Linked DNA regions of Styela clava. The protein of the gene in region 1 interacts with the protein of each later gene in a pairwise test. Links are inferred from orthologs where the notes say so. Each region holds a gene or a part of one and is shown on either strand. Other genes may lie near its edges.

What was found. The genes of interacting proteins can lie anywhere in the genome.
Region 2: the proteins of WD repeat and FYVE domain-containing protein 2-like (region 1) and PRA1 family protein 3-like interact in a two-hybrid assay, tested with the Caenorhabditis elegans proteins (2 studies listed by BioGRID). The link is inferred for Styela clava from reciprocal best matches to the Caenorhabditis elegans genes wdfy-2 and praf-3.

Annotation. Positions count from the first base shown.
Region 1 is NC_135254.1:8,517,033-8,524,324, forward strand, and holds the start of WD repeat and FYVE domain-containing protein 2-like, read right to left. Parts: upstream 3,033-7,292; 5' UTR 2,963-3,032; coding exon 1,754-2,962; 3' UTR 1-1,753. UniProt on the Caenorhabditis elegans protein: Plays a role in coelomocyte endocytosis.
Region 2 is NC_135255.1:9,619,744-9,627,964, forward strand, and holds PRA1 family protein 3-like, read right to left. Parts: upstream 3,205-8,221; coding exon 3,020-3,204; intron 2,124-3,019; coding exon 2,040-2,123; intron 1,742-2,039; coding exon 1,605-1,741; intron 1,444-1,604; coding exon 1,316-1,443; 3' UTR 294-1,315; downstream 1-293. Other genes in the region: uncharacterized protein LOC120330723, read right to left, coding at 4,728-6,839.

The sequences.
Region 1 (7,292 bases):
GGTCATTCCAAGCAAAAGTTGAATTCCATAAATTTTTTTAAATGTGCAGTGAAAGTAATTTTTTGTATTTTTTATATAAAAGGCATTGGAATTTTATTAAACTGCATTCTTTTTACCCAAAAAGATAAAATTTCACCCAGGTTTTTGATGGTATATAAAAAATGGCCTAAAATGTAGAAATTTCGGTATAATTGACATATTTTCTGATGATTCGTGACACAAAGTGTTTGATTGTGTGATACAGTTATTTCATATGAAATAGACGCACTGAATTTAAGTTAATAAAGTTTGAATGTTTGCAGTGCTGTAGGACATTTCTTCACCCGTTTAACGATTTATTACCAGAATTTTAAGAGATGATAAGGCCGCTGTTCCGAAGTGGAAAAATGTCATGCAGTGTCACGTCCTGTAGTGTCACATACAATATGCACATTATTGGCATGGATTTACAGTGTTACATCAAGTAACTTGAGCACATAGAGGGGTCATTCAGCTACTGCACCAGAAAATATTACGGGCTCCTGCTGTACCATCACAAAAATTTACAGCACAACACAATGTACTGTTAATGCATGGTGGATTTGCCGTCCTGTAGTGTCACGCTATATTTTACTATATTTTTTATATCCACTAAGTAAGTCTTGGATGTAACTTTTGTGCAATTTTTTTCATATTCAATAAAGCAACTGATTGGACAATGAAACAAAACATGTAGCTGAAAATGTAAAAATATATTGCATCTAACAACATGCAAAATTTCTGGAATTGTCTTGCAGTGTCACTTGGGATAGCCCAATATACATATTAGAATATTTTTGCATTGTAGAATTCCAATATGCAAATTCATTTTAAACACACTAATCTGATATCACAGCAAGACCACAATATATGCAAAATTTTACTCATATTCAGCATCAAGTATGACTCAAAAACAAAGATGGGAAATTTCACTACAAGATGACAGTAATTAGGATTATCTAATTGCTCAAAAACTGTTAATAACACATAATTCAGTTTTGTCAATAATTTTTCGTGACGTATCCTGATATATTCCGCAAACGGTACTGCCGTAGTGTGTGTACTAGGTTAGGTGATAATTTTCATTCCAATTTTCCTTATTTTAGTTTTATTATGAGTTGAGGACTGTTTCAGACTTTATAAGCAACTTGATGTAAAGTAGGCAAACAAAATTAGTTACATCCATATTAGTACAAACACTTCTGAAGCGCCAAACAAACAACAAAAGAATACAATGCCCAACTACATCCTGCGTCAAGTCTACAGCTTTGTTTCAAAATATTGAGAACTATTATAAATATAGTGAGAGATACATGAAAAACACATAATTTTGAACAATTTGATGCAAATGGACAATTAGCTCGATGATAAACTCACTTGATTCTCACTTTTAAAGTATGATATACAGAGTAATGCTCCAAGGCAGTTCTCAATTTTTTTTTTGCTCGCGGCGCATTTAGAAAAAGAAATTTTTTGTGCCATACAGTTTGAGAAACGCTGCTCCAAGAGAAAAATAATGTTGATTATGATAAAGATACAATCTGAATCCAACAGAATTGAAACATTCCAACCGTTGAAAGTGCATGTCGACGATATGGCATTGGTGCCAAACTCAAAATAACATGATTAATATTTGATCCATCCGCTGAAGTATTATTAAATAATCAAAGAAATGGCAAGTGCTAAATCAGTCATCTTCAAATAACTTCTTCAACCGAGATGCTGTTAATCAATCTTACTTATGAATAACCTGACTCATGTCCCAGATTTTCACAACACGGTCTGAACCGCTTGTTGCAAGACAAAGTTTCTTCCAGTCCGGAGTTGCTGCAACCACATTATGCTTCAGCTCATGAAAAGTTGCAGTTGGTGCCTTGTCTGATTCAGGAATGGAGTCGAAACATGCATCACACACTCTGACTTCAAATTCAAAGCCCATAAAAGGAATTGTTGTGCGTTTTGTGCTACATTTTGCACATACTGCCGTGCCACATTTTCTGCAATGATGTTGTCTCAGACCAACAGTTTTTTCGTTCCACATTTGACGAAAATTCCAGAAAAAGGGGGTTTTGCACTTTTGACATTGATCTTTTTCTTCCCATACTGGTGTTTCTTGTCGTTTGATATCCATGTTCCAAATAACCAAAGATCCATCGTAACTCATAGAAACCAACTGTTGTGTACTGGCAGAGTAATGAATTGACATGACCTTTGACTCATGACCCTGGAGTTCAAAAGCCGTCCCTTTTTTGCTTCCTATATCCCACATGATTATAGATTTATCTGAACTTCCAGAATACAGAATTTGTGCAGCACTGTCCCAGAACAAGGTATTTACAGCACCAGAATGTCCTTTCAGAGAATTTATTGATTTGCAGTCATTCTTATCAATTTGTAAAATAGGGATTTCCCCATTAGAGAGACCACAGAAAACATAATTAGATCTGACATCAAACTGTAAGCAAATTGGCACGGAAGCAACTTGGTGAGCTCCCATTTTTTGACCATTTTGTGTCCAGTACCAAGTAAGCCATCTATCTTTTGCACAAGTTACAAGAATTTCTTTTTCAACGCAGAAAACCACACTTGTGACTTGTTTTTGATGAGCATCGTATTTTCTTTGATGGTAAATTGAATTGTAATCTTCAGCAACACGATACTCTTCAACAGAACCGCTTTGTAAGCCAATAAATAGTTGCTTTGTTGAAGGTGAAAAACACATTGAAGAACATGGTGCTGTTAAAAAATGGCAAACACTTGGCCAGTATTGTCCCGTTTCTCTTTTGAGCCAGATACGTACAGAACGATCTTCACTCACTGTTATGACTCCGTCTTCAGATGGCGTAAGAACCAACATAGGAACAACATCATGGTTCTCATCTTCTATTCGACCGATGAGATTTGGTTTCCGCTGAGTTGGTTTGGTTTTAATTTCAGCTGCCATTTTAGCAGGGCTGTTACAGTTCTAAAATGACTAATCCAGTAAGCTTAGGCAATCCACGAATGTCATATATACTAAACCGAAAAAAAAATATGTGGTTATAAATACTATCAGCAAAGCTGCACCACAGCATAAGCTATATCTAACTATTAGGGACATTATTGAAATCAGAGAACATACCGGTACCGATACCGTACCAATACGTTACCGTATAGGCTATTTCGACTGGTAAAGTTATATGAATAAAATTCGAGGCTAACAAAATAATTCAGGTAATAGGGCTTAACTAAATCAAGGCTATGTAGGCCTATAACTTGATTAAACTAAAAAAAGTTATAAAAAAGGTAACGTCGTGCTACTGACTGGTCTAAGCAGTTAAGTTACGGTACCGGTACGGAAAAATTTCGGATATAATTTTCATAGTCAAAGTGAGTTCTGGAGCTATACTGGTACCGGTACAGGTAGCTTAGTACGGCCCTGTTTTAATATTCGTTGTTCTGTTACATTTTCTGTCCCTAGTCAGCTATTACAACGCTATTTTCAGACTTCGGTTTGCCGTACATATTGTTCTCACAGTAAATTGCAGGTGAAGCGTAAAAACAAAATAGCTTTAACGAGATCGGTCCGTATTTTACAAAAAAGATTAGTGACATCATATCACAAGACCAGACGATCATGTCTTGTTTATGCATCCCGGAATCCGTAACGTTATCCAGTTAACGCGACAAGCTGCAGTGCGCGAAACGGCGTCTCACTGGGGTAGCGCAAATTATATCGATCTCCTCGCGATCAGTTACATCAATGACAATGTCATTGGTTACATAGAGTTGAGGAGGTTCCATTACATTTGAACCCACGTACATTTGAACCATGACAATTGCACCTGCATACTATTGCACCTATGGAAATTTTTTGTGTTTTACGGATATTTGAACCCATACTAACCTAACCCATGGGTTTTAGCACCCGCATATAGATTAAACCCGCGGATATACACATGGGTTCAAATGTACATGGGTTCAAATGTACGGTCACCAGTTGAGGACTCCAGTTGAGATTCGCGACAGAAAGCCACAGTAAGGTTACGCACGGCATTTTATCATTTATACTTCTAATTTTTGGACACGTAGTGGACATAGCGATCGTTTCAATATTATGTTGTTGTTGTTCTTAGTGTCCTTGTTCTTTGACACGTTTTGAAGAAATCGCTTTTCATTTCGAATACTGGACCAATTGCTTTGAAATTTTCAGTGGTTGAAGATAAAATTTTTCTTCAGAAGGCTATTACTTTTGTGTTTTTGCTATGACGTCATCAAAATTATTCCCACTGGGTGGCGCTACGTGTCCATATATTTGAGCATAGCTCTCTTGTTATTGGACACGTAGTGGACATAACGATCGTTTCAATATTATGTTGTTCTTATTGTTATTTGACACATAATAATACACCTAGTGGAAATATTAAAAAAACGCTTTTCTCTTCGAATACAGGACCAATTGCTTTGAAATTTTCAGTGGTTGAAGATAAAATTTTTCTCCAGAAGGCTATTACTTTTATTCATTTTAAATATACCTGTTAGCTCTGTGAGATTTGTTTTTGTTTACTATGACGTCATTAAACGTTCTGTGAACATCGGACGCCATTTTGTGTCCTACTGTACTGCTTCACTTTGTGTGAATATATTTGTAGACTGTGATCTGACGGTACGGTACACCGTACTGTACTGCGAACAGACGTGTCCATATATTTGGGCGTAGCTCTCTTGTTGTTATTATTATTATTTGTCTCCAGTGGCGGCGCGTGGTCATTTTGACAACCGGGGCAAGCTACGGCGGGACCAGGTCACCCCCATCTACGGGGACAGGATGAGCGCTGTAAGTTCTCCCATCATTTTATGAGTATAAAAACCATTCCATCGGTAACAACCAATCGGCAAAAGCGACAATTTTTAACGATAAGAAAGTGTCTTTAAAACCGGTCCGAGTCAAGGGATTAATAAATAAAGACATAGTTTATTTTGAAACCTCTTTCAAAAGGAAAGGCAATAATTACCCAGATAAATACAATGACATATTAACAGAAACTTCGGGAAAGCAGACAAAACCTAAAATAAAGTTTAAAACGTTACTATGAAGAAATGAAAGATAATGCAAAGATAAGGACATGCTTCGCTCACTCATAGATATATATGCTGCTAGACTTCTACTGCTTGAACATATATGCAACACGCCGCGGTTTCTTGGAAGCAAAATGCTCAATAACGCGCTGATTAAAGTCATGCATCCCAGAAATAACGTCTGTGAATGGATAAAACAGCCAAGGAATTTAATCTATCTTGCTTCATTGTGTTTCTGAGATACGTTTTAATACGCTTCAGCGTGCTGAATGTTCGCTCTGCGTCGGCGGAAGAAATAAGCGTCGTCAAAATGATGTCCAGAAATTTTGCAGACGCCGCAAAGGTAGTTACTAGAGTGTTATCTATGATGAACCCATAGAGCGCGCAAGTTGATGTGATGTTCAAAAAAGTTTGATTGGTGTAAATACATCGCAATTCATTTTCCAATTTACCCACGTTTATCATGGGGTAAAATTTGGAGACAGTAGCCCACAAATGGATGGGAAATTGACGTGTAAATTTTGAAAAATTTTTGGGGTTCATCGAAGAGAACGCGGCAAGGTGTTCAGTGCGCAGACGATCGCCTATATGATTCACCAGAATGTCACAGCATTCCTTTGCAGACAAAATCAAACGCTGCGTTGTTTGCCCGCGGCGTAAAGAAGCACTCCATGTGTCGTCGTATTTTATTGTTTCCCGGATACGAGATACAGCATCGCAGAAGTCTGAAATACACGACTGCACAGACGCTCCATCCATTAGCCTTGACTACAATGCGCCGTATAATACATTCACGTGATAGAATATTGTTGAGAAAAAAGCGAGAAAAAATGAAAACTCACCATCTTCTAGCAGACGCTTTAGACCTGCCGCCTCCCTCACGGAGCGTTCGTCCCAAACCGGAGAGCTCTGAATGCCATTGAAACACTCAATGAGCTCAGACCTAATTTCGGACACGCCCTGCACCACGCGTAATTGGAAGTTCCAACGTGTTGGTGCACAAGCTGGGAGACGGCGGCTACATATCTGGCGAAGGAGGTCAGAGCGCTTCGGCGAAACGGAAAAAAATGAAGAAAACCCCGAAACATTTGCAAAAAATATACGGACGAGAGGGGTATCAAGACACATATTTTTAATAACGAGGTTAAATTGGTGTGCATAACAATGTAAAAAATGCGCATGAGGAAAATCTTCTTTTATATAAACTTGAACACCATGTTTCGACCCACTCATGACTGCCCCGCCGTCATGAGTTTGAGCTATCAATTTTGACTTCGCGTTGTAAGGCTGTAACACTCCTTTCAGTACAGCCGATATCCCACAAGCCGTGCGATCAACGATTGGTACAAAGCTGTGAAATCTCTCGGTAGGTTTACCATCTTTCACAAACCGAAAAATCACAGCCAGTTGGGAAACGCACGTGATGTCAGTTGTCTCGTCAGACTGAATCGAAAGGAACTGGCAATTCTCAATTTCCAGAGCCAAATGTTGTAAATAAATTTTATACATTGAGTCGAGCAAATCATTCTGGATATCCTTAGATGTCCCTTTCGAAACAGTTGCGGCATCAAGATGATCTCTCAATACTGTATCTAGGGATGCGGTGTATTCCACCATATCCAAAAATACCCCTCTATTAGAAGAGCCAGCCCGTTCATCGTGCCCACGGAGGGACAGCTCGTGACAACCAATGAACTTCAAAACATCTATCAATCGACCGAGAACATGGCGGTTTTTCTCGACGTTTTGGTTGTGCCGACGAATAGAAACCGCGCGTCCTTCATCCAACTGTGCTGCAATATTAACATTTCCGAATGTTAGGTATTTTACTGCATTGTCCAGATGCAGACCAAATTTACACCAACGTGAGTCACGGGCGGTAGCAAAAAGTAGGCAATAAAAACAAAAAAGTGCATTTTTGTCCTCGCTGTAACACAACCATTCGTGTTTTTTATACCAAGTTTCTGCGCAGAATGTACGCCGACGCTTTCCTCCGTCATGGGATTGTTCCAGTGAACAATTTTTTGGTTGATAAGGCCCAAGACGTTGTACCTCTAATTTTTGTTCCAGCGGCAGCTGCGAAAACGGAGTGCGAAGTAGTGCATCAACCTTATTCTTTATGAGGTCTAAGGCTAAGAAATGCGAAGCCGGAAAGAAGTGAGGAGCTCAAAGCAATTTTATTAAACAACATGATAGGCAACTCTGACGTCACTCCA
Region 2 (8,221 bases), on another chromosome or scaffold:
CTGATTTTTAAATCGCTGCACTACAAAGCCTATAAATTTCATAACTGTGTGCTAATTACAGTATATGGTTCCCCTGCGACAATGAGTGAATATATAGTGGCTAGCTTCTAACAAGAAATTGGGCGTAATACAAGTAAACAATTAAGTGTACCAAAGTAAAATTCAAGCAGATAAATTTCATGACATGCATTTTTCCAATTGAATAATGTTGCTACTTCTTGTGGTGAATGACGCTTTCAAATTCCATTCCCTAAGAACTAAAAAACATACCATCATCTTTCAATAACCGAGTGTGAAAGAAAATATACAACCCATCTTTATTACGATATGTATATATCAAATTACAACTGAAACAACCATATTATGCATATTAAATACATAAGAAACACAAAAACCAACCATCTATATTGCCGCTGGAAAATCAGCAGTGAACACCTCTAAAAATACTGCAGCACCATATATAAATAAGAAGCGTTGAGTTATGCAACTATTAAGTAAGGTTATAAAGAAAAGAACCAGAATAATATAATGTTGATAAATTACTTAACTAATAAAGATATATCTAAACGATTGACTACATGAAGGATAATCTAGTCTAGAGAATTATAGGCAGAAAATTAATCGCCACGTTTGTGAATGATCTCAAGTGCTAATTGCTTTTGAAAAATATCTAATTTAAAAAAAATACTGGTTCTGCACTGGGATGACCAAAACCGAATATTTCACTATTTCGAATATATCCTGGGAAAATATCTTCGACTATGGTATACATTCAAAATTGGGGCTAATTTATTGTGGAAAATTACATAAATATAAAGGTCATTAGTTTATCTGACCGCTTAAAATATCTAATTTTGAAATAAAAATACTGTCAATTATTCCTAAATATATATGAATTTTGAATGTAATCGAATATTAGATTCGCTTTGGACATCCCTGGATCAGCAGGTCAGATGGTTGACATACCTTACAAATCAGATACCGCTATCTAGTCACCGAACAAGAGGTTGTGGTCCACCATACCCTAAAGCCATCGACTTTTATATACTCTGAAAAGTCCCAACTAATTAAAGAAGGATGATTATACTCAAGTGTACTTATGAGAAATGGGCAAAGAAAATCCTTTGGAGTGGTTGCTTTTGATCACAATAAAGTAAAGAATATGGCAACGAAGACTTCCAGAAAATGATAAATTTCTGATATCTCTAAATGATTGTTTACTGGCGAAAAATCTGTTGAAATAGCTTGCAATTGTCTACATTAACCAAATTTATTATACCAAGCATGCTTAACAATAATACGTAAAAAGAAATCCTCAGAATTCTTGATCCATGGCTTTCATTAAAATTCCCATGGGAGTGGTCTTAAGGCCAACAGATTCCACTTTATTATTTACTTTGTTTTTTAAATTTCTCATCCGCAATGATGCATGAAGAAGAATACCTTTTAATAAAAAAAAAATATATAAATATACAAATGATTAATTAAAGATCGAAGCAAGCCCAATGAAAGTTTTGAAATCAATCACTAAAAAAACGGATATTCTACTGGAATATTTCACCTAAAAAATAATAAAAAGGATAAAAATATAAATTTGAACTTACAGAACATTGGTAATGCAATTCCAAATATGAACACGAGTACAGATCCCAACGCATACATCAGCATAGTAGAAACTGTGATAATCATCCCAATGACAACGCCAGGATATTTCCTTTTAAAATCTCGAATTTCAGCCCTGCTAAAAATGATCAGAAAAGCAATGTTTTATTTACAGAGCAATTTAACATTGTAGGTTATTGTTTAAACCAGTAGTTCTAAATCAATGGTAAATTTAACCATTAGGAAATATTCATTTTTTATACTACTAGTTTCATTTTTTGCATGTTATCAAACACTTTGTACATCTGTTATTATACTCTCATTGCAAGATACAGGTCAGCCTAGCCTACTTTTTTGTATAATATTGACGATGTGCCAAAATGGGAAGTTTGTACAATCGACTAAAAAGACTTGTTAAAGCAATGCAGTGAAATTACCTATTTGAAGCAACATACAGTGTCCCTGCAAATGTACCGCCCACCAAAATTCCGCCGAGTATCATTTCGTATGGTCTGACATAACTGAAAGAATTTGAGTACAATTTAAGATACTAGGATAAAATTTACATATTTATTTCAGGAGGAACGCCTAATATTACGGAAAACCACAACCTCTCGTCCAGTGACCAGTCTATGTTAGGCATGGGATTAATTAGCCAGTTATTGTTTGTCTTCAGATGCATCAGCCATCAACTGAACAGTGGAGCAAGCAGTAACTCACCCTGCGTGGATAGGAATCTAGAAATCCTCTCCCACATAATTCGAACCTGCGAATTCACACAAGGTAATCAAAGTGGCGGTAGCAAGCGTATTCTTAACGTCTAGCACGATGTGCCTCACTGCCGGGCAGAGCGTTGATGACAATAACATCTGCAATACCCTAGTACCCTATAACAGGGCTACTCAACTATTTTTACCGAAGATCCGCATACAGAACTTCAAAAATATTTGGGTCCGGTCTTTCCAGAAATTATATTTCGGCATCTTTAAACACGCACTTTCTCGGTCGACTAATGATTATAAGCTAATCAAGATTGTTTATTATGGTGTTATAGTTCCTCCCCATATATATTTAAATCTATATAAGTGATTTTATAAAAGGAAACTTCAAAAGTGGGGCTAATGATCCAAAATAAAGAATTAGACGCGGTTCGAATTGAATACCCGAAAGGTCCGGATTCGGACCGCGGTCCGCCAGTTGAGTAGCCCTGCCCTATAATATCATGTTAATACTTCATACTGATAGTTATGGGAGAATCAAAATATATATACGATTTTACATGAAAGTGTTGGAAAGCCTGAAAAAATCAAAACATTTCGAGTTGTTAAATGTACACCACATTTCAAAGTCAAATTTTTATTCCTACTGATTAAAATAGAAAATTGATATTAGAAAAAAACAATAATATTGCTATTACCCAACGATCAAAAATATCACAAGTGCAGATATCATGTAGTTCGTTTGATAATACAATAAATTATTCACGATTCTGTAATTCCATTTTTCTTTATTCTGATAATCGGGAAGCCCAAACCTTGCAGACCCAAGAAGATAATCTTGAAAGGTACGAATAGGAGCAAACTGTACATCATTCCCTGCCATTTTGAGTTTTTATTTTTGTCTTAATTTAAGTAAAAACCTGGAAAAATGACAAAAACTGTAACACAATTCACAAATTCCATTTAGAGAGAAATGCTTATAAACATGCACAAATTAGGGATGTTCACAGCCAACAGGAAGGCCCTCTCAGAGTCTCAGGAAGTTAAAAAAAAAACGTTTTTTCACTCAAAAATAAGCTCAAATGTTTTGAATTTTCGTACCACTTGGTTGAACATCCCTGAAAGAACAAACCAGATTAGCCCAAAGAAAATCAAATTTTCTAGAAAACTTAAGGTGAGCAACATAATTCTTGTTGTCACCCCAAAATCACGATAAAAGCCATTATGATTTGGTTTACATGATGTACTTATAATGCAACTAGTAAATTATTTTTATTGTCTGTATCTTTCCAAAATGACTGTTGAATAACATTTTTGAGCATTGCTTAAACTTCCGATTCTAAGGCAGGCAATCACCACCGGCAATCGAATGAGATTACTACCAGATAATTGCCAGGCTGTAATAAAAAAGGGCCTAATGTATTAGGTTACCGGTGGTTTGAGTATGTTCGAGTTTCTGGCAAAAACATATACAATTTCTTACAAAAAAATTCTAGCTTATAATAGTATCAAGCCAGTAGCATATATCATGCTAACACAAAATTCTCCACCACAATTTCCTAGCTATGTACAGAAAAACCACAAAAAATAATCAAAGCGTTATTGAAACAAGCTTCACAAGGCATTAATAATTTATGCATAAACCATTCCGACAGAAATCGAAAATACGAGAGTGTGAAAGAAATAACCTATTGATACCATGTTCATCTTTACATCAACAAATGACTTTTAACGCAATATCTCATTAATAAATCGGTTTCTCACTATATACAACACCCAGAAAAACACTAATTTATTAGTACTAAAAATACTGTAACTGATACAGTAAATTTATTCCAAACTATCATCAATATGTATCAACAACTATATAGGCCTCAGCCAATCAGTCTTGCCTATAACTTGTAATGTTTGCAATATCAGTGAAGACTCAGACCTTGCATGGGCGTGAAAAATAGGTTTATTACATACCCACAAAGTACCCACATTTTGGCACCGCTTGAGAATAAGTACATATACCCAATAAAATCTACATAATTCAATGTGTTGCACAAACCAACATAATTTAATATTTCCACAGGGGAACTTGGTTATATAACACATAAAAATATTAAATAAATGTGTATCAGATCAGTTTGTTGAATTGAAGTGATACATATTCACTAAATAGGAATGCAATGCACAAGAACAGGACCACAATCAAAAACAATACACAAGTTCCTTACAATTAACATTGATCTGTAATGCATAACAGCAATCCACCATTTAAATGACATCAAAGCACTTGATTTCTGATCAAAAATGAATAGAAATACATCTGAATTTCCAGTTATATTGAAGGCTATGTGTCTCGCATGCTCATGATTTGATCTAATTGTAGCACACAATGGAATAGGACAAGGGCACATATCATTTCCATTTCCAGCCTTGCTTCCATTTATCGGCTTGACTTCCAGTATTTGCCGCCCGAGCTCGTGGTGGCATCATATCAAGAAGCAATTGGCGTTCTTCTGGCTTCAATGAACTGGTATTAAATGGAAAAGGCAGCGTTGTTGATGATCTTGATTGACTTTGAGGACGAAATCCCCCACTTGAACTACCAGAACTTGTGTTAGAGCGTTGTTGTTGGTACTCCTGTTGAGCTCTTTGAAGTATTTTCTGATGACGACGCAACTGTTCTTCTTGAAGTTTCTTCAATTGTGCTTGCTGTTGTTGCAGTTGTGTTGCCGCGGCTACAACAGCGGCAGTCAGGCTTTGATTGGTGACCTGGGCAGATTGACTGGCTTGAGTCTGTTGCATCTGCGCTTGTTGTTCCTGCATCCTCTGTTCAATTTCCTGTTCTTGCTGCAAAGCTTTGACGAAAGCAGTTTTCAGTCGATTGGTGTGTTCAGCCTTGAGTGCCTTTTTCTGATTAGTATTGACACAACTCAAGCATATAACCTCATCAGGTTTATCTTTTACTGCTTTCCAAAGTGGACTGAAATCTTTTTTGCACTGCATGCAAATATGCGGAACAGGAATGTTTTCTTCTCTCTCTTTTTCTTCCTTGCGCAAATTTTTATTTTGCAAATGTTGAATCTTATTGACGACTTGCTCCAAACCCATCAAGCATATAAACTCATTGCTTGCAGCACTTGGTAAGAATGTAATTTCAGGTGGAGGTGGTTTAGGCGGAGGAATTTCAAGAAGTGTTTTTTCAAGCTGTTTACGAAGAGCAAGCTTCGCAGCCGCCTGTTGTTGTTTATAAGACATTGCAGGAGCAATGGGTCGTTTTTGCTGCTGCTGTAAAGCTTTTTGCTGTTGTAATAAAAATTGCTGCATATTAGCTGCCAAGTCACCTTGTCCAAGAAGTAATGGATTATTGCCATGTGAGCCACGCAACAGATTTCCCGCTTGCATAAGCTGAGGCATTTGCATCATGGCCGCGAGCGCATTGCGATTTGCTTGTAATTGAGCACTGCTAGTTCCACTGCTACTACTACTAGAACTTGATGTTTTATATCCTTGCGATTTCTGCGATGAGATAGTGCTCGAAGATTTTTGCTTCGAAGAATAGTTTGTAGAAACATTGGTGCTACGTTGATTGCTAGACGAACTGTATTGAGAAGGTGTTGTGCTAGGTTTTGTGCTTGCGACATTTGTAGTCGACTGTTGATATTTTGAAAGTTGACTTTGCCGCAGTTTTTTTAGTAGTACCAACTTGGCTTCTTCTCTTCGAACAGAGTCACGAAGTTGTCGAATGCGACTCTCTTGCGTTTTATGCATTCTTGCAAGCTTTATCAATGTTTCTGTTTTGCTATTCTTTCCTGGACTAAGTCCAAGTTCATCATCACTAACAACAATTACATCAGCATCTCCAGTATCAGCAATTATAATATCAGTGATACCATCAACGTCAGATTTTTTGACCACAACATTTTCTTTATCTTCATTTGGCTCCTTGGATTTGCTCAAGTCAACAATACTTTCTACGGATTTGTCAGTCATTTCAATATCAGTCATTTCTGGCTTCTTATTGTCTTCAACTTCCTTTTCTTTCTTCTCTAAGTTTGTAACTTCATCTAGTAATGGTTTTGCCTTCGCAACGGTAGATTCAGTTTCCAGCACTTTTTCAGTTTCTGGATTTGATTTTGCAATTATTTCTGAATCGTTATCATTTTGTTCCGGTTTGGAAATATCAGAATCCAAGAATCCTTCCTCTGTATCAACAGTTTGATCCTGATTGTTATCCACATCCACTTCTTCTACTTTCATTCTTTTTGCGTCCTCTTCTGGATCACCAGAATTGCTATCATCCTCTAATTTTCGTTTCATAGATTCTGCCAATTTCTTTTCATCAGTTTTATTCTGCTCAACTTCTACTTCTGCATTTTTGTCTACATCATCTTGTTGCGAAGGTTTTTCTAAATCGTGTGTAACATCTTGAACTTCACGACTTTCTTCGAGCGGAATTGCCGGTTCAATTTGTGATTTTTGTTCCTTTTCTCCTGGGCCATCTATCCCTTTTTCAGGTTCCGACATGATGCCCGAAACTATGGGCAAAATGTCCAAATATCAGTATTAAAATCCCAATAATTTTAAATTAGAAGATGAATATTCTATAATTATCAAAATCATAACTTGATGGATGAACTATGACACTATATGTGGGAGGGAATGCAGGGGAGAAGACATGGTCTACATGGAAATAGATAAATCAACTTTTCCTAATATTAGAATCACCCTATATGAGCCCAATTCAAGTATTATCTCTAAAAATTCACTGGTTACCATTTATTTTTAACGAATACTGAATAGTCGAGTAAAGAATATTTTCAATATACAACAGGAGTCTGGAACATGCAGACATGGAAGGTCGATACTCCTATTGTAAATAAATAAGAAACATTAAGTCTGTTAAGAAGTCTGTAACATAGCGTGTTTTTTTCTCTGTTGTACTTCATCGTAATCGCTGATTGTTTGGGCAATGCGGTCGTTTCGACGATCGACATCACAGATGTATATTTTTTCCTCTGTAAATCCGATTATTTTTTCCTGAGGAATTCAATGATGACGTTTTTAGATTGCGCTTCTTTTTTTGCGTAGTATTTGCGCAACTTCATTTTACTGTATTTTTACCAATATTGACGGACAACAATGTCCAGACATCCCCCAAAGGAGGGGGGTTCATTCATCGGCAAAATGGGATTCTATGAAACAAGACAATGTCTCTCAATCTGAAAAGTGCGCCGTACTCTCATGGGACCTTAATTGTATTTTTCACTGAATCATCTTGAATGCTACGCAATATCTTTTGTGTTTTTCTATGGTGTTCGTGTTATTTTCGTATTAAATGGATAACTCTGCAATTTGTGATTGTGTGAATCCTGAATGTTACTTTTATTTAAAATAGTGAATAAATAAATCAGCATTTCGACAGTCATGAGGCTAGATGACACTACATCTGTATATAGAGCATTTCTTGAATGATATTTACATTGAGGATTAACAATATTAAAACTAATTAATACAGTAATAGTTTAACTTATACTATAAGACAAGTTCAGGCAAAATCAGAGAGCAAACATCAGTCACAATACTGCAATAAGTTCCAAGTTAGGAATACAACATGCGGACATATTGACATAAACCAACACGACAGTCCGAGAGTAATATCAGAATATTGGTGTTGGACCTAATAAAATTATGATTGAAATAAACCTTAAATTTATTCCTGTAAGTTACGGATATTGTAGTACAGGTACTTACGGTAGGTACGGTAGGTATACGGCGCTATTAAGATTTTGTCTAAACAGACACAACATATATATTTGGGTAGAGATACCGTAATCACCATAGCCGAAGCTGGGAAATATTCACTCAAAACCTCTTGAACGTGCACAACCTAAACTTCTGATTCACGG